Notamacropus eugenii: one gene and its partners. The protein of the gene in region 3 interacts with the protein of the main gene of each other region in a biochemical or structural test. Links are inferred from orthologs where the notes say so. Each region holds a gene or a part of one and is shown on either strand. Other genes may lie near its edges.

Region 1 (8,060 bases), on a different chromosome or scaffold from region 3:
ATCAAATCCCTCTTCCAGAGGTCAGTGGTACATAGGGTCACTGTGGCTAGTCCTCTGACTGCAGCATGAAGCTGAGTCAAGGGAAGAAAAAGGAACTTTCCTAAGTGACGGTTAACTTGGGGCCCAAAAGGTCACCCCTTCCAGATGATTTCTGTTCTGCAAACCCAAACCCACAATGGAAAAGGGAAGGGGATGGAAGACAGAAATCAGAGTGACTGTTCTCTTGCAGCTTGTCTCATACTTATTGTATGTACCAAGCAGTGACAGAGGCCTGAACAATGTCCCTGAGTGGGAGAGAGGGTGCTGTTGTATTGGCCACAAGACTCTGAATATCTTTCCTCCCCATCCCCTTCAAATGTTCAGGCTTTCCCTTTAAAAATCAATGGGGAAGGCAGAGTACAGAGCCTACTAAATGCTAGGGGTGGGGGTGGGGGGAAAGGAGTTATACTGGGGTGGGATGGGGGGAAGGAATTGGTAGGGGTAGGGATTGGATAAGCTCCTCAAAGCCTGAAGGTGGTGGAGGTAGGAAAGACAACCTATATGTTGAGGGAGAAGGGATATTGTCAGACATTAACATCTTGAAGTTTTCTTACCATCTGTTCATTGAGGAGGTTATTATATAAAATACTGGTTGACAGTTACTTTCTCCGGCCTTGGAGGGAGTTAATATTTCACTACTCTGGGTTACAACATCTGTGTGTTTATTTTGATCTGGGAAGTTGGGAAGAAGGGAAGAAGGGAGAGAGGGCTTAGATCAGGCCATTTTTAGAAGGTGGTCCACTCTGAGGGATAGATCTACAGTGGCCCTGATCATCACCTGAGAGTCACATAAAGCCTTCCCTACAGTCTCAGCTCAGATGAGTTCAAGGGGCAATTGTCAGTCTTCCGCCAAAGAATCACTTCTGGTGATCTCATTTGCTTCCCTTGTCCATTGGACAAGTTTATTTTATTCTCAATGATTGGTTTTAAAAGATTCGTGAGGCACGTCTGAGACCCACCAGGAAATCATTCTCAGGGCAAATAAGGTTTCAACCTTATTTAAAGCATCAACCACAAATGCTTTCTAAGTGAGATGTGGTAAATAGGGGCTATTTGTTTATGTATTTAATTTTCAGATCAGTAAGAACTGTATTTAGGGAAGATCTTCTACATAAGATCTCACTTTCTCCTAGCCCCCAAAAAACATTCTGGACTTAAGACACCAGGGTATCTCTAACCCTGGCTGGGTAGAATCACTAAGATAATTTTCATTTCAGGTCTTGATGGCTCTGACTAGGATGAATTGAGCCCCTTTTAGTGATGTCCGCAATTCCGTAGAATTCAGTCCTCCTCACCCTCATCCCACCCTCACCCTCAGCCCCTTTAGGACTTTAAAAGGAAAATTCTAATTGTGCTAGTAATGTATGGCAAAACTTGAGAGTGAATTTTAGGAAGCATCCTCCCCGTCTCGTCCCCCACTCCCCCACCCCCAGTGCCTCTCTACCGTCCCTCCAAAGAAACCACCCCTCTCCTCAACGCCTAAGGGTTCCCTGGTGTTCTTTCCAGCTGCGGCCACAGAAACATTGTCCCTTCCTCTATCACTCCACTCACCATTCCTGATTTTCAGCCGCTTTGGGGTTAAAGCGAATATCGCTCTCCACGTTGAACAAGACATCGTCCTCTGTGAGAGGCGGAATGGCGATATTATAGAGAGGGTGTTGGAACAGGGCTACCAGCTTGGAGCCGTCCTTCCCCAGCGGCACTTTGCTCGCCCTACTCCCATCTTGGATGAGGTGTTTGTGGGGGAGACCTCGCTGCACTCCGCCTCCGCCACCGCCGGGCTCCAGCCTCTTGAACGCCGCCGCCGCTGCCTCGGACCTGTCCGCGGCTGCCGCTGTCCCGGCCCCGGCCCCGGCGCCGGTCCCTGTTCCGGTCCCGGGGAGCTTCTCGAGCGAGTGGGAGGTGAGGTTGGAGCTCGGGTCGCTGCTGAAGTCCTGCAGGATCCGCAGGGTGTGTTTGTTAGGCCAGCCCGAATCAGCCCCGCTCTTAGTCCTCTGCTTCCCCCAGCCTTGCGCTTCCTCGCTCGGGGGGTGAGAGCAGGAGCAGCCGGGGTCCCCATCACTCCTAGCCGCGCGCTTCTCCAACTTTGGTAACAGATCGATCACGATGTGCATGGTGCAGGCAATCAAAAACACCATGAGGATGAGCACCCGGAATTTGCGGACCAAGATCATTTTCATGGCCAAGGAGACTTAGAGAGACTGGGGGTTGCCACGAGGAGGAGACTAATAAATTAAGAGTTTTAAATAGCTAAAAGTGTGTATGGAGGGGTGGGGGAGGAGGGGTTCGTAATGGTGGGTGGGAGAGGCTTTTTCACAGAAAAAGCTTTTAAAAAAATAATTCTGTTCTACTCATGGACAAATCAAACAATTAAAGTCAATAAAGTTATCTTCATAAGACAGTTAAAAAATAAATACACTTAGAAGCCAAGAGTCTTCACTACCTCCCTTTTTTGTTTTTAGAAAAAAAACTGCCAAAAAATTCCCCAAAGCGTGCCATCTAGAAACTGTTCTTTTATTATTATCATTACTCTGCCTAATACATGGATCTCAGGGAGGTTCCCCCCCCCCACTCCGAAAGGAGGATGGAGATGGAGGACGACTAAAGGGAAAGAAAAAAAAAGGATGGGGGTTAAAAATAAAAAGCACGCACAAACACACACATGCAGCACCCAGTGAAGAATTCAGGAGAGGAAAAAAGAATCATCCATAGTGCTTAGAGAAGACGCGTCTTCCCATCCTCTGGAAAGGGACCCGCGATGCAGCAGGAGGAGAAGCAACGGGACGCGCTCTCGTCCGCAGCCCGGTTACAAACATTGGCTTGCAAAGGCTGCGCTTATAAGATTTCCAAATCCTTCCATCCACCACCACCACCTCCAGCGCCCCGGGGAAGCCAGAGTCCCGGCTGGTTGGGCTCGAACCCGCGGCGCTGAAGCTCGATATCCAGGCACTTGCACGGTTCGGCGTTGACACGGCCGCCAAGGCGAAAAGGAGAGCTGGCACAAAGGACGCACGGAGCTGGGGGGGAGGGGGGGACGCTGGGAAGGGAGGGAAGGCGACGCTCCCAGGAATCGGTAGCTGCTCTGCCGAGGGGTGGGGAGGGGAAAAGGGTGGGGAGGGGGGGAGATGATGTCTCTCCTTGGATCTCGGCTCAGACTTACATTTCTGCCCTGAGAGAAGAGGGGGGTGGGGAGAAGGGGAAAGGGCGAAGCGAGGAAGAGAAAGCCAACCTCGGAGAGGAGAGAACAGAGCTTTGGGCAGGTGCAGTGTGAATGCCCCCTTTCAGCTACACTGCATGCTGGAGACTGACTGGGCTAGTACTGCTGCAGCTCCACTTCTCGGTGGGTGTGTTAAATATTATGTGCAAGCCATGAATCCAGCCTCCCAGACGTCATAGGGAAGAGATTGGCTAAAAAAACGCTACAGTGATAGTAACAGGAAAGCCTCCACCAAGAAAGCAAAGCTCTCTCTTTCCCTTTTTTTCGCTGCTCCTTCTCCCCCTCCTCCCGCCCTGGCCTCACCCCTCCATTTCTCTGCAGCTCCTAGCAGGGCAAGGAGAGGGCGCCTTTTTCTCAAAGGTTTGCAAAAAGAGAAAGAGAGAAAAGGAACCCCAGGCTGATAGCCTTGCAAAGTATTACAGCAGTCTGACTGCCTAGACTAGGGGAAACAGGAATTCTGCTATGTCATTGTCTGGGCAGGAGACGGCTTTTCCTTTCTTTGGGGGGGGGGGGAGGGGGAGTAGGGAGGAGAGAATGTCTATTTCTTGTTTTCACCCCCGCCCCGTCTTCTCTTCCCCTTTTACAAGCGTCTCCTAAATCGACAACAAAAGGTAAAAATATAAAGTGAACGCGCCCCCCCCCCCCAAGAAGCAGCGGGTGCCGAGTATGAGGATTTGGGATAGACTCGTGCTGCCGGGGCGGATTCCAGCTCAGTAGATAACGCCCTAGTGAAAAATGAGATCAGGGCACTGACCCTATTCTCGGTCCGGCAGGGAGCAGGGTGGGGGAGGTTGAGGGGGAGATTGGAGATCAAATAGGCGGGTGTGTGTGTGTCTGTGTGTGTGTGTGTGTGTCTGTGTCTGTGTGTGTCTGTGTGTCTGTGTGTGTGTGTCTGTGTGTGTCTGTGTGTGTGTCTGTGTGTCTGTGTGTGTGTCTCTGTGTCTGTGTCTGTGTGTGTCTCTCTGTGTCCGTGTTCGTGTTGTTGCCCGTGGCTTTGATGCTGAAACTCCCTTAACTGGGAGTGTTTTCTGATTTTTATTTTTTTATTTTTTGCCACGCAGATGAGATGCCAGACTGCCGAGGCCTTGGGAAGGAGCGTTGGCTAATCCTCAGCTTTGGACTCAGTTACAACTCACAAAATGAGAACAGGACCCAGGCTGCGGGCAGCCCTGTCTTTAACCCTTGAAGCACCTGGTTCTTAAAGTTGGATTAAAACGACGTATGCAGCTGGAACTCTTCCGCTGTCGGTTTGCCCACTTTGGGATGGAATCGCTGTATGGGACTCGGGCTGTTAACCTTTCTGCGTGCTGTGGACCACCTCCCTCATCTCTCCACCATGTCCGTCTGGCGAATCTTATCGACCTCTTCTTTGAAAAAGGTTTTCAAATGTATTAAAAATAAAAATACTTATGATTACAAAGGAAGCCAATTATTCTGAAACAGTTATTAAAATTAAAAACACAAGTTCACGAACTTCAGGTTAAGAACCTATTTTATTAGAGCACTCACCTAACATTTTGAGATCTTTTCATTTATTTTCCTGCTATGCACACAGTAAGCATTTACTAAATGCTTATTGACTTATGTGGTTATATTAATTATATAGCATAATATATTAATAACATAACTACTTGCCATCAGTCATTACTAATATAATGTACTAAAAACGTAACTGTTTCTATTACATGGTCATGTTAATAATATAATATTATACTAATGATAATGTAGCTGCTTATATTATACTGTCATGTTATACAATATAACATTAATAATAATGTTAATAATAATGTAATAGCTTACATCAGCCGTATGAGTTAGGTAGCACAAATATTGAACTTGTCTTTCAAAAAATATTTTGATAATTATATTTCAAAATAATTGTCTTTCCTCCTAGTCCTTTTATGCTTGTAAAAATATTCTGAGAAGGGGTCCTCAGGGTTCACCAAAGGAGTCAACGACAGAAAAAGGGCTAAGGACCATGCCCTAGTCCAACCTCCTTATTTTGCAGATGAGGAAACTGAGACCAGGAGAAGCAAAATAACTCTTCCAAGTTCATGCTATGTGACAGATAGAAAAAACTCCAAAATTCAAACTTGAGCCTTGTAACCACAGAGCCAGGACTCTTTCTACATTCTGAAGAAGGCCTTTCTCATCTTCCCTTTCCTTTTCACTTACCCCACCCTCCCTTCCTTTCTTTTGAGAATATGTTCCATTTAATCTGGATGTAGTCTGTAATCTACGGGTACAAAGTTATTTGCCCCTGTCAGAATGTGAGTTCATTGATAATAGGGACAACGTTTTTTTTTTTTCTTTTAAATCTTTCTTTATATCTCCAACACAGCATAATTCCTGGTAGGGAGTAACCTCTAAATAAATGCTTGTTGACCGACTGGCTGACTATATTACTCTGCCTCTACTCACAACAACACCCAGAGAAGAACAAAGACTGTCACACCCATTTCATAGATGAAGAAATTGAGACACAAAAAGATAAAGGGACTTGCCTATAGGCACACAGTGTTAGAGCTGGTATACTATCAGTTCCTGATTCCAAATCCAACAATCTTTTCCCAACGCCACACTACCTTGATTTTTGGATTAGCTATGAGGGCCAGTGGGGAAGAAGAAGGACTTCAAGAGGCTTCTTCCCATCTCTCAGAATGCTTTTGGGCCACCTCTCCTTTCTATCGGGTAGCATTTGCTTAGGGAATACAAATTAATCTTAACATTAAACTTAGCAAAGATATTGTCTCCTTGGGAAATAAATATTCAAAATGAAACAATTTGTTTTGTGGTTTTGAAATGCATTAGCCTTTGTTTGGGATTTTTGAGGCATATTGGAAAGAGCACTGGCTGTGGAGGCTGAGGTCCTGGGTTCAAATCCCACCTCTGTCCCTACCAGTGTGGTCTTGGGTCTGTCACTTAACTTCCCTAGGACTCAAGACAGCTTCTGGAGTCCCCTCCAGTTTTAAGTCTATGATCCTATATAGTGCATATGTAATTGTATATGATCATAATTGTGTCTAAGCAAGAGTTGGCTATCTATGGCCAGAGCAAGAATATAGAAATCATTATATAAAAAGAAGTGTTACCTTACTGATACAGTGTAGTAAAAAGGGCACTGGACTCAGAGACAGAAGACCTGAATAATTTGTAAAGGCTCTGCCACTAATTGGATGTGTGAATGGACAAATATTGTCATCTCTCTCAAACCTCTGTCAAACAAGGGGGTTGGAAAAAGTATCTTTGAAGGTTTCTTTAAGCTCTCAAGTTCTACAAATAAGCAACCATGCTCAATATGGAGCCAACAGAAAATGAAAAACAAATATTTCCAGAAGTGAAATCAAGGCTATGTAAAGCATAGATCTGCAACTGTCAAACAAACCAGTAAGACCATAAAGATAAGTATTTTACTTTGTGAAGAAAATTGGAGCAAGAAAAATTAGCTTGTTATAGTTGAAATTTGATTGGGAAATGGGGAAAAACTGGAAGAGTTGGGGTAGTAATCTGCTCACAAGGAAGAAATATGGTCACCATATTGAAAAAACAACAACTGGTTTTTGCAATTCAGATTTTCCCCCTGGTATTCCTGAACAAGTGGCCCAACTATGATTTTTTTAGTCTCCCACGTTTGCCAGTATCTTAGAGTCCATATAGGGAACAGATTCCCTATTGGTGAAAAGGTTTTCCAGAAGCTTCTACTCACGGGTAACATTTTGCTGATGGCAGTGAGCCCCAAAACATGACAGGGCCTTCTCAATATCATCCAAGGTTACTCAAAAGAGATTGAACTAGAAATCTACTCAGGTTAAAAGCAAAGTGGATGAAGGACACATTTTTTACAGTATGTTATTACAATATGTAGTTGCTTGGGGTAGACCTTTAAAGCCATTGCATCAGATTCCTAGTTACTTCCTGAAAATTTGAGGTGTAGATAATATGTTGCCAATGGGCCTCCACCCTGACCTTCTTTCTTTGTGCAGCTTCTCTTCTAGTGGCACAGCATCTTTACATCCTTAAATAAGTAATCCTTTGATAAGACTACAGGATTCTAAGATGCCCCTTAGAGCCCCCCAAGCTCTCTCTCCCTAGATATTGTGTTCTTTCCCATCCCTGTTTATTATTCAATGGCTTAACCTGTCCTCCTCCTAGAGAGCAGATATATATTTTGTGGTCCAAGTTTAGTTGTTTTTCAGTTGTGTCCAACTTTTCATGACTCCTTTTAGGGTTTTCTTGGCAAAGATAATGGTGTAGTGTGCCATTTCCTTCTCCAGCTCTCTATACAGATAAAGAAACTGAGGAAAATAGGGTCAAGTGACTTGCACAATGTCACACAACTATTACGTGTCTAAGACAAGATTTCACCTCAGGAAGATGAGTCTTCATGACTTCAAACCCAGCATTTTATCTACTTCCCCATCTAGCTACCCATTTATACTTTACAGAGCTGAAAAAAACATTCATCCAAAGGAGTGACTAACCTGTGAATTTCAGACATTTTATTCAGATATTTCAGGATATTTCATGTCTGTGTAATCTCCATTTTTGCATTCCCGACTACCTGGTACCTGAGGATGTTGACAGGAGCCATAGGAATCTCCCCAAAAAGGTCATTGCCTGTGCTTCTTAATCTAAAATATATGTGCTTGCCTGCTGCCCTCTTTCTTACGCACCACAGCAGTTTATTTCCCTCAGAATAAGTTAGCATCTAGCTGTGTGGTTTCATTAGAGGGACTTTATGTAACTTCTGAGTGCCACAGAGGTTGTACTTGGGGATAACACAGCTTTAGGCCACTTGTTTATT
Region 2 (7,102 bases), on a different chromosome or scaffold from region 3:
GGCTACCTAAAATGTCTAGAACTAAATGCAACACCTCGAGTATGGTCTTACTAAGGTGGCATATGGCAGGACTCATCACATCCCTAGTTCTGCATCTCTTAGTTTGACCCCAGATTATACAAGTTTTGTTTTTTTTTAATGCCCATTGCACTAAAAATGCACGCTTGCTACCACTTATTTACTTTTTTCCCTATATAACCCTATTGACTCATACAGAGCTTTACATTCCACTAAAATCCTCAGATTTTATTCAAACAAATTGCTGCCTAGTCATGACACCCTTATTTTGTCCTTGTAGACTTAATTTTCTAAACCTGACTCATCCCAATTAAATGTAATTTTGTTAGATTTGGCCCAATGTTCTAGTGCTTAGCACAGTTCACAGTAGGCACTTAATAAATGTTTATTGACTAATGACTGACTAAACTGCTCTAGCTTCTACAGAGTTTTCTAATGCTTTCCAAGTCTTGTGCTCTTTGAAAATTTCATAAACTTGTTAAGCTTCATTGAAGTCACTGATAAAAATGTGGATCAGCACAGGACCAAGTACTGATCTTGAGGAATAATAACGGAAAGAACATAAGCTTTGCAGTCAGGCAAACTGGGTTCAAATCCTGGCTAGGATATTTACAACCTAGATGACCTTGGACAAGTCACCTATCCATTCTGAGCAGGCTAGAAACTGAAAGCCTTCAGGTAGGGGAAGGGGCCAGATACATTTTTTGGTGGTTGAGGAGAGCAGGCTGGCATTTGGCAGCACGCACCTATTATCAATGAGTGTACCCCAGGGCTTTGTCCTGTGCTTTTTCTCTCTCTACACTCTCTGTCTTGGTGATCACAACATTATCTGTGGATGCAAAGATCATCTCTGTACAGATGACTTCCAAATTTACATATCCAGCCCTCATCACTCTCTCCTGAGTTCCAATATTTCATCAACAACTGTTTGCTGTACATTTCAACCTGATGTTTAATAAATACATTGAATCTAATTATAGAATTAATCTCTTTCTTCAGTTTTCCCCCAGATGTTTGGCCTCATGTAGACTTGACTTTAGCTGATCGTACTTAAACACCAGATGAGAGAGCTGATAGCACTATTATAATCTGCTCAACTAATCAACATTCATTTACTCAGTAAGGCTCCTCTGACCAACAGGAATTTACAAGGTGGTGAGTCAGACTTCCTAAAGTTCTGCAGTGCCTGGCCGTGTCTATGTTTCATGCTCTCGAAGCTGCATCTCTCTATCTCAGATGATACTGCACCACGTCCCAGAGGAGCACAGATCACTTCCACCAAGGCCAGACTTACAAAAGAGAAATTATCTCGAGTATCGAGAGAAACTGGCTCCAGGCATTTGGAGATAAACTGAAATGGCCTAGGGGAGACAGGACTAAGAAGGAGCAGTGTGGGCTAAAGAAAGCTACTATTTGCTTGGGTTAAATTTCTGAGACTCTAAAGCTGGAATCTTTGAAAAGGAAGGCTAGCCCACACCGAAGGGAGGAAAGGTGCTATTTATAATTCAATAGCCAAGGTGTCCTGACTAATGCACCAATAGGAAGCATTTTTTTTAAGCTAAGTGTTCACATATTGATTCAAGACCTTCCAAATGTCTAGATCCTCAGATGCCCCCAAATATCCATGGGAATGGGAGAGTATTCTTCACTGGGTTGAAAATATAAAAAACTATTAGCAGACTATTTCCTTTTCTCCTGTTCCTCTTTTTTTGTTTTTTTTTTCTTTGGAAGAGAATGAATGAAAGACCACATTAGTGGCTTGAGCTGTTATCAAGTAGTCAGGAGACCTCAGCTGGCAGTCCAGATCTACCACCAAGTTAACTGTTTGACCTTAGAACCACTTGAACCACTGTTCTCCTTCATGCTGTTCGCCACCAGTGGTCTGAGGACTGAGGTATGTTTGCCTCCTTTCCTCCTTGGGAGGTTAAGAAAATGAAAGATTACAGGAGTGAAAATCTAGAGAGGCTTATAGGCTTCCAGGGGGTAAGTGCTATATGATTAAAGGCTATTCAGCTTATTTTTTTTTCCACAATTAGAGAGAGAAATCCTTAAAGTACCCTGTCTATCATCATCCAGGTAAGAAAGTTGGAGACAAAAAGGAGGGAACATGAGGAGGAAATCTGGGGAACGAGCCCAGAGGTCTTTGTGTGTACAGATCACTTCTCCTGCCCACCCCTCCACTCCCAACCCCCTCACTCCCCTACCTAGCACACCTCAGCAGGAAACTCCAATCATGCAAAAGAGATGTTCACCTTCCCCCTTTACCTTCCAATTCCTTCTGCTAATTAGGAGACACCCAGCCAGTATCAGGCAGGTAAACTGGCATCATGTTAATGTCCCGGAGGAAGATGACTTCAGGTTCATTAGTCATCAAGTGTTTGCACATCATTTTTGCAAACTGCTTTTCACTTTTTCCTGACTCTGCATATCAGAGGCTTCTTCTCCAAGGGTTATACCTATTAAACTCTCCTACCCATGCCACAGAACTACTGGAAAGTTGTGGACTGGCTTTGTGCTTCTTTCTTCTTTCATCCCTTCTTTCTTCTTTTCTCTCTTTATCTCCCTTCCTTCCTTCCTTCCTAATGTAAACAGCACTCTCTATTACCCCTACTATGGCCCCAACACTGCATTAAGTAAGCCCCAGGGCAAATGGTGAGAGCTGTATGAAAGAGGTCCCACTTCAGCCTCCTTCTATCCACAGTGCAAAGCTAATACTAACTTTCAGAAATCCCTTTATTGTTGGGGTTTCCTCGGGATGCCTAGCAAAGGGAAAAGAGGAGCCCAGCTAACAGACAGTGGATATGTAATACATAAGACCTACCTCTCCTGGTCTCCTGTACCTCTCCAAGGACTTTCTGCCAAGTTCCAGGCTCGTGGCTGAATCTCAGCTCTGAGTTCCCTGAACAGCTCCCGGCTCCTTTAAATTCCAGTGACAGAGGTGGGGTCTGTTGCATGGAGTGGGCGTGTTTCTCCCCTCTAGGAGAATGCCCAGTGGAGAGGCTGGAGAGATGGAGGCAAGCTGGGGCGGGCCTGCTTTTATTGCTAAGGAGGGGGAGGAAGTATGAGATAGCCAACCTAGCCTGCTCTGTCTGGCCTTGGGCCAGTCTGTATTATTCACTGGGTTTGATTTTGTAAAGACACACTTGGATTTCTAAGTAAGTATATAAATAAACAAGTGCTGGGAAGTTTCTTTGTCCAGACCTGGGGTCCCACTGCAGTTACCTGGCCTCCACTGACATGTGGTGGAGGGTTGGACAGGTTTAGGCCCACCAATTCAAGGATAGGATAGCAAGCAAGGCCAGATGGAGCCAAGGGATGAGACCACCGAGAGGAGGGGCAGGCAATGGTCAGATGACAACTGGGAAATGTTGTCCTGCCATAGAGTCATAGACTGGAGGGGACCTTAGAGGTCATCTAGCCCAATCATCTTATTTGGCAGAGGAGGAAACTGATGTCCAGAGGCAGGAAATTACTTGCCCAAGGTTACTCAGAGGGCAGGACCACCCAAGCCTAGTGTTCTTTCCATTACACCACACTGCCAGTCACCTACGACTAAAGCAAGGTCCCCACCCCAAAGTGTCTCCCACCATCTGTCATAGTGCCTAAAATGCCACCCTTTGAGTTATTCTATTTGTTCTTGGCGGCTTTTCAATTTTCCAGAATTTCACATTAAAAATGTGAATACCTCTGGGATTAGGTTATCTGGTTATCAGCCAATACCCTAAAGGGGCCTGTACCAGTACTGGAAAGAGACCATAGTTGTGGGCTCAGGGAGAGGAACCCTGAAAAGAGACATAGGAGAGATAAAAGGATAAAAAAAAATTGTCAACGGCAGACTTCTTTGCCCATTTGGCAAGATCTGCTTGTAAAGAGCCATCATGAAAAGGGGGCACCTTGGAATAGAAGGTGTTTAGCAAGCTGGAGCAGCCATCCGAAGTGAGCTATGATGAGCTTTTCACAGGAGAGAATATTATCTATTAAGTGACTTAACAATTAGCATTTCAGCAATTAGAAGAACTGACCTTCAAGGTCCTTCACAATCTGACCCTTGACCATCATTTTAGCTTTATTTGATAACTCCCCTCCACACCTCTACACTCCAGACAAATTGACCTATTCTCTAATAGCTTCCAGACAAGGTTCATGGTTTTCCCTATGCTCAGAATGCCTTCCCCTCCCCTTCTTCAGTTGCTGAAGATCTACCTATCTTACCAGAACCCAACTTAAATGCACCATGAAGCTAGCAACAACTTTCTGTCTGAGACTCCTCATAGCACCTTATCTTATACTATCATGTTATTTAGAGTATTATGATTGACTCTACAAATCTATAAGTTTGATGAAGGCAGGGACTACATCTCATCTAAAGCTTGTATCTCCCCCTCCAGGGCCTAGCACCGTGCTCACACTCGTAAGTTGTTCATTAAATGTTTGTGCAATTGAATTTACCAGATGCTGCTCATGCAGATCTCCGAGCAGCTCTGTTGGCTAAATCAGGAAAGGGAATTACTCACATTCCAATGAATATGAGATGGTTTTCCCTACCCCCAGCAGAATTCCAGGAGCACTTTAGAATAATACTGAATTATTAGCTACTGGATTAATAGAAATGAATCCTGCTTTTAATTGTGACAAAGAAGGAGAGACGAGAAGAAAAAAATGAAAATTAAGCCTAATTCAATCACAGTCTATGGGAATTTCACTTTTAAAAAACCTTTTTGTGTGTGTGTTATTGCTTACTAGCGAAATTACAGATCTTTTTTAAAAAATTTTTTTTGGGGAATGACAGAGTATGTGGGAGGAAAGCAAAAGTACACAGAAAAGAGGTTAAAAATGATAGGAACCAGGTGTCTACTCTATATGTGATTTGCAGGATGTCGACATAGCCCCTTCCTGGCCTCTGTGACCTTGAAAACAAATCCCCAGTGAGAAAGAATGATTTTTCCAGAGTCAGACAATACATATTTCAAATAATCAAGGATAATTTTATGAACAAGACCAAATAGAATCCTAAGGAGTGCTGGGACAAAGGATAGCTGGCAAGGAAGTGCTCTCTCAAGAGTTCCCAAGTTTGGCACTGTTTCTGTGGTTCCATGACCTTCCTCTCCACAGGTCCCATGAGTCATAGTCTCAGAGCAACATCGTGGGGAACAACTAACAGTGATGGGCCCCAATTATCAATTAAATAGGCAACAGGACATGGCATTAGAAAGGAGAACTAAAATCAGACCCTAATCATCCGAAAAAGAAATGACATCATGTCTACTGCAACCTGAAGGAGAGAAGTGGGTAAACCAAGGGGGCTGAGACAAGGTGGCTTAAGACAGAAAAGGAAGAGGGAAAAGAGCGTTTGACTTCAAAGTTTATGGAGTATATTCTGGTAGTCAATGGTGTTGAGGGGAATGGATCTTTATGGTTCTGAAATCTCCTTAGTATCTTTCTAGCATGGATTTTCCTAAATCTTTATCCAGACCAGTGACAAACAAGGAAGAGGGATCATATTAGATCCTTGAAAACAAAATTAAGACCAATAAGTAGAAGTTACAGTAGGCAGATTTAGACTTCATAAGAAGGAAAACTTTTTAATGATTAGAGTTGTCCAGAAGTGGCAGAATAGGCAGTGTTAAAGGTAGTGAGTTCCTCATCAGTGAAGGTTTTCCAATGGAAGCTGGATGGCCACTTTGTTAGCAAGGATCCTCTCATGAACTTATTTATATTTTCAATATGCACGTCTGCTTCAAGGTGTCAAATCCCCTAAGGCTACTATCTACTGTGTAAAATAATATTGCTTTCTATCTTCCCACCTCTGCTTTTTCCATTCCATTCTTTCCATCCCTGCCAGGTTAATACTTTTCTGATCAGGTTACTCCTGTGTTTAAAACCATTCACGGAACATGATGCTATAGAAAGTACATTAGACTTGGAGTTAGGGAGACCTGGGTTTCATTATTACCTCTGACATTTACTAGTAGCATGTCCATGATCAAATTATTTAAACTTTCTTAACTCTGTGTCTTCATCTTATAAACAGGAGTAATAATACTTCTGATACCTACCTCATAAGATTGGGGGATAACACGTAGGAGGCACTTTGCAAACCTTAAATATAAGTGTCAGGAATTACTATTGTCTACAAATAAAGTTCAAGTCCCTTAATCCCTTTAGGGACTACCATGAGCTGGCACCATCTTTCCCTTTCCTGGTTTATTTCAATCTGCTCTCCTTTAAGTACCTTATTCAGGATTGTGCTGGTAAATGCTTGACAACTGGTTCTCAAAAAAATGTATACAGGGCACACTTTGGGGGTGGGGTAAGTGGGGTTAAGTGACTTGCCCAGGGTTACAAAATTAGTAACTGTCAAGTGTCTGAGGTTGGATTTGAACTCAGGTCCTCCTGACTCCAAAGCTGGTGCTTTCTCCACTATGCTACCTAGCTGTAGCAGGACATACTTTCAAATTTAATTTGTATTATTAACATTTTCTTTATCACTTTCTTAAGTCTATTAAATCAATAAAACGAAATCAAGACTTGGTTTGTAGTGATTTCTAAGGTATTAATCTCACTTTGATATTTTAATAATAATATAATAATAAGATCTAGCACACTCCTGTCTTTGATACAGATGAAACAGGTTGCTCACCATCTTCTGTACACACACCATGCTGTGCCTGCTCTGTGTCTTTGCTCATACCCTCCCAGCTCCTGGAAAATTCTTCCTTCATCTTTGTCTGTTGCAATCCTACCTGTACTTTGAATCCCTGCTCAAATGCTTCCTCCTCTAAGAATACTTCTCTGATTCTACCAGATGGAAATTCCTCCTTCTACCTCAGATGTCATAAACTATTTTGTTATTGTCTTGTGCACTCATCATATATTACACTGATTTTATCTTGTCCTGCAACTCTTCTGAAGTTATTATTCCAATTAGTTTTCTGTTGACTCTCTAGTTCTCTAAGAAAATCATATCATCTGCAAAAAAAAAATAACTTTCTTTCTCTGTCTATATTTAATCCCTAAATTTCTTTTCCTTGTCTTACTGCTATAGTTAGCATTTCTAGTATTGTGTTAAATAGTAGCGGTGATA
Region 3 (7,111 bases):
GAATGGTGTTGCCACCCTTTGTGACTATGCGAGAGATGGAGCTGGTGCCAAAGCTTTGGAGAGGAGAGATAGTCTTTATTTCTACTTTGAGAAACTTGAATGGTTCCATACTATCTTGTGGACTGACTTGAGAAACACAGAGACAGGCTTTGGAAAGGGTAAGCTTGCATTTCAACATGTTTTCCTGCTTAGTTGGGAAGTGGATTACGGAAGTATCCTAATGGTAGTCCGGTGAGTGTCTCAAGCCCTTCTACACCCTCTGGCAAAGTCACCATCCAGTTCAGAAATAAAATCCAGGCACCAGGTACCAGCAGCCTCATTAATCTATAGTTCTTAGACACATCCTTCACTTCAGACAGATCAACCTCTTCACTTTTCTCCAACACAATACTTACTCTTGTTTCAAAGTATTTGTTCACTCCATCCCTGTGGTCCACCCCACTCCCACTTGGAATATCCCTTCTTCCTGACTCATACAAACCCTATCCATCCTTCAAATCCAACTTTCTCCAGGCAGTCTCCTCTAATGAAGACCACATTGATGAAGGCATTTATAAAGAGTTGTAAAGTTTACAAATCACTTTACATACATTACATCATTTGAACCTCACTACAACTTTGTGAGGTAAGTACTAAAAGTACTATTATCTTGATTTTATAGATGGAAACTGAGACTCAAAGAGTTAAATGACTTATTCATAGTCACAAGGCTACTAAGCTTTAAAGATGAATTTATAGCTTGATCCATCATATGCCAGTGACATAGATGTGATTATCATGACAATTCAGAGTCCAAAAATCATCTTTCAACATTTTTGTTCATCTGAGATTTTCTGCTTTGGAGTAGTGAAAGCTGGATAAAAAGCTCGCCACTCTGTGGGACTTTATTTGGGTGACTCAATTCTAAAAGCAGATCCACAAATAACATTTGTGATCCCAGATTCAAAACATGATAGGAAAAATTCTCACATGGAGATTTTCCATTTTGAAAAGTAACAGCTAAGCGTGGGGCTCCACCATTTCTATTTTAAGACTCAATTTTTGAGGACTTTGTTGGAAATGTTTTAATATGCCCAGGAAAAAGACTGATTCCTATAACTTGGGGGCAGCTCCCTAGAACTTGTTAAGGGATGCAAGCCATTATGATTTTTTTGTCTGTTGCATACAATAGTAACAGAGAAACAATTAAAATCCTGTCATCAAATTGAAGTTATCTAAAGGCAACAAAGTCAAATCTTGATTATCTGTAGTAATGAAGGACCCAGAAAGCAAGAGTAATTGAAATCCGTATATCACCTAAGCCTCATTATATTTATAACTTTCTTAAGTTTTTAAATGCCTTTAAAAATACCAGGCATTCGTTTCTCATTCTCAAGATTCCACTTCATGGAACTCTCCCTCCTTGGGGGAATATTAGAAAAGAAGGAAAAAGGAAAGAGAGAGAGATTAGCAAAACTAGCTTATAACTGACAGTATATCCAATGTTCAGTTCCCACTGCTCAAAGCCTCATTTTAGCTAACAATTTCAACTTCATCTGCTATTTCATCTTTGGCTAGAGCCAGACACTGAGCAGCAAAACTTGACTGGCTCATTTAAGCGTCTCCGATCTCTCCATTCTTTCTCCAGAGCTGATTTTTCCAATCATTTAAAGAGAAGCAATGAATTTGTCTAACAGAAAGAAACACTAGAAACCAGACTTTGGATAAATGAGAGTTGAGTGCCTCATCGATAAACACATAATAACTTTTTTTTCTTTTTTTAAAGACTTTGGGAATATTGCCACATGAAGCTTTTCTGTATTTAGACAATTTCCTGGAGAAAAGGTTGACAATTTTCAGAAAGTATAGTCAGTTCATGAGACTATCATTACTTCTGAAACACCATTATCTATTTTACCAACTCCCCATCGTTCTGACTAAATAATAATTCACATTTATCTGGTACTTCAAGGTTTGCAAACCTCTATTCTCACTACAGGCCAGCAGCATTAGCATCATTATCCTCATTTTTATGGATGAGAAATACCATTCTGAGATGGATAGAGAGCCAAGAAGAACTGATTCAAGTCCTTTGTGACCCCAGGTATTAACCTTTTGGTGCTCTAGGCAAGCGTCTAAGGTTATAAATTATAAAGAAGGTACAAACCTAATGTGACAAAGGAAGTTGATTCTCAAGGGAGTCACCAGGGATATCACAGATTCAGCCTATCCTCTCCTCCTTTTACAAATGAGGAAACTGAGGCTCAGAGAAATTAAATAAATTTGTCCCATGTGGTATAACTAGAAAGATTGTATAAGATCTTAAACCTAGGTCTTACTTCATTTTAAGTTATTCTCAAAGTGTCTACACTCTTTTCCCACAATACGTATATTTTAAAAGATTACTTATTTCCCTTAAAAAGGGCAGTGAAAAATTTCTACAAAAAAGTACTATAAAAACAACATTTCTTGTCAAAGCAACAAAAAGTAGGAAACTAAACATTAAAGTCTGAGAAAACCAATATTCTTAACTATAATTACTGAGTCTAAGCATGATGGTGTTATTCATGGCAGACATTTCCTGACTTTTCGAATATCCTTGCAAGACTTGGTTGTTCTGGACCAGACTAGAATGTCAAAACCTTCCCTCCACTCCCCCTCCCATTCCCATTCATCCCTTGGAATCTTTACAGTCCTTCCTCCAGTCCTTTGTCCAGGAACAGGTCAGGCTTATCTAGAAAACTGCATTCTGGCAGTTGGGGTCCCCAGCCATGAAACACCAAGTTTCTAACTGGTCTGAAGCAGGAAAATTTATGAAGCTGATAAATAGTAATGATTTCACGTTTGCAGGCCAGTCTCACAAGAACTGCAGCTCCCTTATGGAAGTCTTTGTGGGCTAAGCTGAAAGAAGATAGAAATAAAAAAAGAAAGTAAATAAAGAGAAGCATACCCAGGCAGTGCCCACTACACACAGGACCAGGCAGAAGATCCTCCCTGGAAGCATCTTCTCAGGGGGTGGAAATGAATAGCAAAGAACTTCTGTTGGAAGGATAGCTTGCACTGCTTTCTTCTTCCCATTTAAGTGCCCTCAGAAGTTTGAGTTAATGATTGACTTTGTCATGTTTACAGGGTCAAGAGACAGTCTGCATCCCCTTCTCCTCCTGTCAGCTCGGTGCCCCAGAAACAGTTGCTTAACTTTTCCTAGCTTGTTTGCTTCCGATAAGTTGTTGCAAAGGTGACATTCACTTCTTAGACCAGCACTGGGGGTGTAGGGGGTGGGCTGGACTGGGCTGGACTGGGAAGCACACATATTCCTGGAACAGAGTGAATTGAATGTTACCCAGAAGTTGATTTTGTAAAACAAATGGGAAAAGGGAAGAAAATGCCCACACTTTCTCATCTGGAGGATTCAAACTGGAACTACCAGTGTCTCTACAACACAATGAAGTCAAATGGCTGTTTAACAACTCCTCATAAATTTGGTTACTATAAACCCCTACCTTGAAGCCTAAATTATCCAGCTGAGTGAGCTGCATTTCAAGAATCCTGCAAACCTTTGACAAATCTCTGCTTTGATATTAGCTTTGTGAACTAAGTCCAGAACAATTTTGGTAACCAAAGAAGAGGAGTCATAGAATAGGAAAATGGCACTCTCTTTAGAGCCAGAAGATCTGGGTTTGGCTACCTATTAGATCCGCACACTTTGTTAAATTTCTTTACATCTCTGAGTCTCACTTTCCTCATCTGTAAATACAATAACACTTGTACTACTCACCTCATTAGGGTTATTAGGAGGATCAAATGAGATGACAGTTGTAAAGTATTGTACAAATGTTTATTATGTTGATGACGTTAATACTCCAGAAAGTTCATGAACTCATGGAAATGGATTTCTCTCCATTAGTGCAGATTCTAATCTATTCACATTTTTTTATCTTGTGTCATTCTTATCCATGCTACAGAGAACTAGACAATGCAGTGGATAGAGCAGTAGGCCTGGAGTCAGGAAGGCCTGAGTTCAAATTTGGCTTCAGACGCTTCCTAGCAGTGTGACTCTGGGGATGTCATTTAACCTCTGTCTGTTTCTGTCTTCTCATCTGCAAAATGGGTTTTGCTGTGAGGATCAAATGAGATAATATTTGTAAAATGCTTATCATAGTGCCTGGCACATAGTAGGTATTTAAGAAATATTTGCTCTCTTTCCTGGGCATAATCGTGCGTCTTGACTGACTGCTTCAGTCCTGACTCAGATGCTCTCCCTTATCCCCATATACTCTTCTCTGTTCTGTCTTGCCAAGGGCTCTGCTCCCCTTAAGCCTTGAACTGCCCTGAGGAAGGCCACCTGGGCTTTATAGATTGTTCTAGATACTTCATTCTCCCACCTCATTGAAGGTAGAAAGAGTGAGCCTTTGAACACAAGTCAGATGCTGGAGGGCATCAATACCATGTCAGGGTCAGAAGTTACTCTTTCTTATATTTCTTGACACAAGGGCTGTGACCAGTCGGGCATGAGAAATGGGCATCTGGGTATTTTCAGGAAACATTCTAACACCACAAGAAAAGGCCAAAATTGGAAGTGAATTCAGGGTCCCTGAAAAGTTCTTAGACTTAAAGCTGTGGTCATATCATGCTTGCTGCTTGGCATAGTTTCCTTGGTTCACTAAATATGGCATCCTTGGAAAGTCCCTAGGTAGACTTTCTAGTGCCAGCTAGCAAAAGTTGCAGAGAACCCAATTCTACTGAAGTGGAGTTGGATTCATAATGTTATATTTATTTATCTGGTCATATATTATATCCCTCCAGAAATATGTAAAATCTTTGGAGGCAGGAATAGTTTCATTTTGTCTTAGTATCTCCAATACTTCACACATAATAGGTATTTAATAAGTGGTTGTTGAATTGAATTGGGACACTGTAACTAAGGACACCTCATGGAGAGCTCATGGAGATGAGCAACAGGGGTAAATGATAGACAGACAGACAGCTATTCAGATGGAGCAATGGAAAGCAGAGTGTAACATAATCAGAGTAACATAATCTTTTGAAGAAATTTGAAAATCAAAATCCACTGAAATGTTCTTTTTTGTGAAACTAAATCAGGTACCACTCTTCCCCTTTCTTCAGAAATAGTGGTGTCCCTCACATGCTCGGGCCGAACTCTATTTTCCATTGGATTTTTTTCAATACCACAAAGCATCCAAGGCTTCAGCCTTGTAGATGCTCTTTGTGCTAATGAAGAACATATTCTGCACCTCCTTGGCCAGAAGATGATTTTGTGAATTTCAAAAGATCAGAAGATTGGGACATCCCATTGCCATCTTAGCAATGTCCCCAGAATAGACCTCCTGACAGTAGCATGCAGATTAGGAGGCAGGGACAAACCAGAAGCGCTGAATTAAGAGCATTTCCAGACTTTTCTAGGAGCTGTACTGTATGAGTAGACCATATTCTAGGTGAACTTCATCAGAACCCTGCCAAGGAGAATGGGGTTAGAGGGGAAAGAAAGCAATACAACTTACTAGGAGCTGTGATTTTCCTCTTTACCACACAAGCTCTCCAACCCTGACTCCGCTTCTCCCTCACCTTTGTATGTTCTTGTGGAGGAATGTGTCCCCTGTTTGAGGGGATGTTTTATATCAGTTATTCTTACCATATCACTTCAGTAAATATTCATTTCTAAAAGCTAATTAAGTAGGATCAAATAATTTATATCAACTGATAATCAGTGGGAAAGTAAACTGATGATGGGGCTTATAAGCAGTAGCATTAGAAACTCCAAACATTAGCTTTACCTTTAGCAATCAGAGAAGAAAAAGAAATTAAAGGAATTAGAATAGACAAAGAAGAAACAAAGCTATCACGCTTTGCAGACGGTATGGTGATATACTTAGAGAATCCTAGAGAATCAAGTAAAAGAACTATTTGATATAATAAATAACTTTAGCTAAGTTGCAAGATGGAAGGAAGGATGGAAGAAAGAAAGAAAGAAAGAAAGAAAGAAAGAAAGAAAGAAAGAAAGAAAGAAAGAAAGAAAGAAAGAAAGAAAGAAAGAAAGTAAAACTTCCAACCCCTTAGCAATGAGGGAAGATGCAGCTATGCATACCCTAGGAACTGCACCTTTCAGGTTGTGTATGGGTTGGGAAAGTGACCCCAGACCTTGCCTTAAATATACATTACTTCATCCAATAGACACAAAACCGTGAAGTAGGTACTATCATTATCCACACTGCACAGATGAGGGAGCCAATATTGGCAGAATTGAATTGACTTGGTTGTTTTTCATCCTTCGTTCTTGAAGAGGACAAATGCAACAGAAGAGTGATGTCTTGAATTGTATTTAAGTGAGGCAGAGCTATGCCAAGTCATCAGCCTCACTGTCTCCTCCAGAGTCATAGGAGTCCAGAAGTAAGACAGAAGTCCGGATAACTATCAATGGTCTAGGATGTAGTAAGAGATCTTGGTCTTTTTAGGCTAGGGTCTTTCCTAGGTCTCAGTTTGTCTGAGGCAACACCCATTCAGTGATAAAAGGCTAGGTAGGAATTAAGACAAAAGATGGCCTAGTTTTTCCTTCGCAAAGAATCAATCTGGGAGGGAAAGACCCTCAAAGTTTCTGTCCAGAACAGAAAAGTCTATGATACTAGATTCAACTCAGACCTCAAAATGCAAAATTCTAGGTAAACAGAGTCCAAAGTCTCCTTCAGTACTGATGCATATATCAGTCCACGGAATCATGATGGTCATAATGTGGACACAAACAGTGTCCAAGGGTCCTAGGTGAGGCGTATGATGTTGTATCTGAAGATGCTGAATTTGTTTTCCAAGTTTTCAACTCTGAAAGACTGTTGTACTGAAATTGCAATACAATTTTCACCAATAATAGGTATGGGGAAAGTTCTAGGAGCATGGCATCATTGACCTAGAACGATCCTCAGGGGCTGAGAAGTCAACTGGCTCACCAAGGTCACACAGGTAGTGCCGGAGGAGAAATACGAGCCCAGTTCCTCTTACTCAAGGAGAACCAGTGTTCTTTCCACTTGACTTCAGTGTTGCTGTTTGCTCATTTCAGCCATGTCTCACTCTTGGCATTGTTATTTAGTATTTTCTTGTATTTTAGTTTCTGAAGGAAGGAATG

The links.
Region 1: of the proteins of FGA (region 3) and FAM20C, one has a biochemical effect on the other in vitro, tested with the Homo sapiens proteins (2 studies listed by IntAct). The link is inferred for Notamacropus eugenii from reciprocal best matches to the Homo sapiens genes FGA and FAM20C.
Region 2: the proteins of FGA (region 3) and PLAT form a complex in vitro, tested with the Homo sapiens proteins (2 studies listed by BioGRID). The link is inferred for Notamacropus eugenii from reciprocal best matches to the Homo sapiens genes FGA and PLAT.

Annotation. Positions count from the first base shown.
Region 1 is NC_092874.1:391,528,262-391,536,321, forward strand, and holds the start of FAM20C (extracellular serine/threonine protein kinase FAM20C), read right to left. Parts: upstream 3,040-8,060; 5' UTR 2,220-3,039; coding exon 1,591-2,219; intron 1-1,590. UniProt on the Homo sapiens protein: Golgi serine/threonine protein kinase that phosphorylates secretory pathway proteins within Ser-x-Glu/pSer motifs and plays a key role in biomineralization of bones and teeth.
Region 2 is NC_092872.1:618,372,093-618,379,194, reverse strand, and holds the start of PLAT (tissue-type plasminogen activator), read right to left. Parts: upstream 3,029-7,102; 5' UTR 2,840-3,028; intron 1-2,839. UniProt on the Homo sapiens protein: Converts the abundant, but inactive, zymogen plasminogen to plasmin by hydrolyzing a single Arg-Val bond in plasminogen.
Region 3 is NC_092877.1:153,119,412-153,126,522, forward strand, and holds the start of FGA (fibrinogen alpha chain), read right to left. Parts: upstream 3,040-7,111; 5' UTR 2,984-3,039; coding exon 2,930-2,983; intron 1-2,929. UniProt on the Homo sapiens protein: Cleaved by the protease thrombin to yield monomers which, together with fibrinogen beta (FGB) and fibrinogen gamma (FGG), polymerize to form an insoluble fibrin matrix. Fibrin has a major function in hemostasis as one of the primary components of blood clots.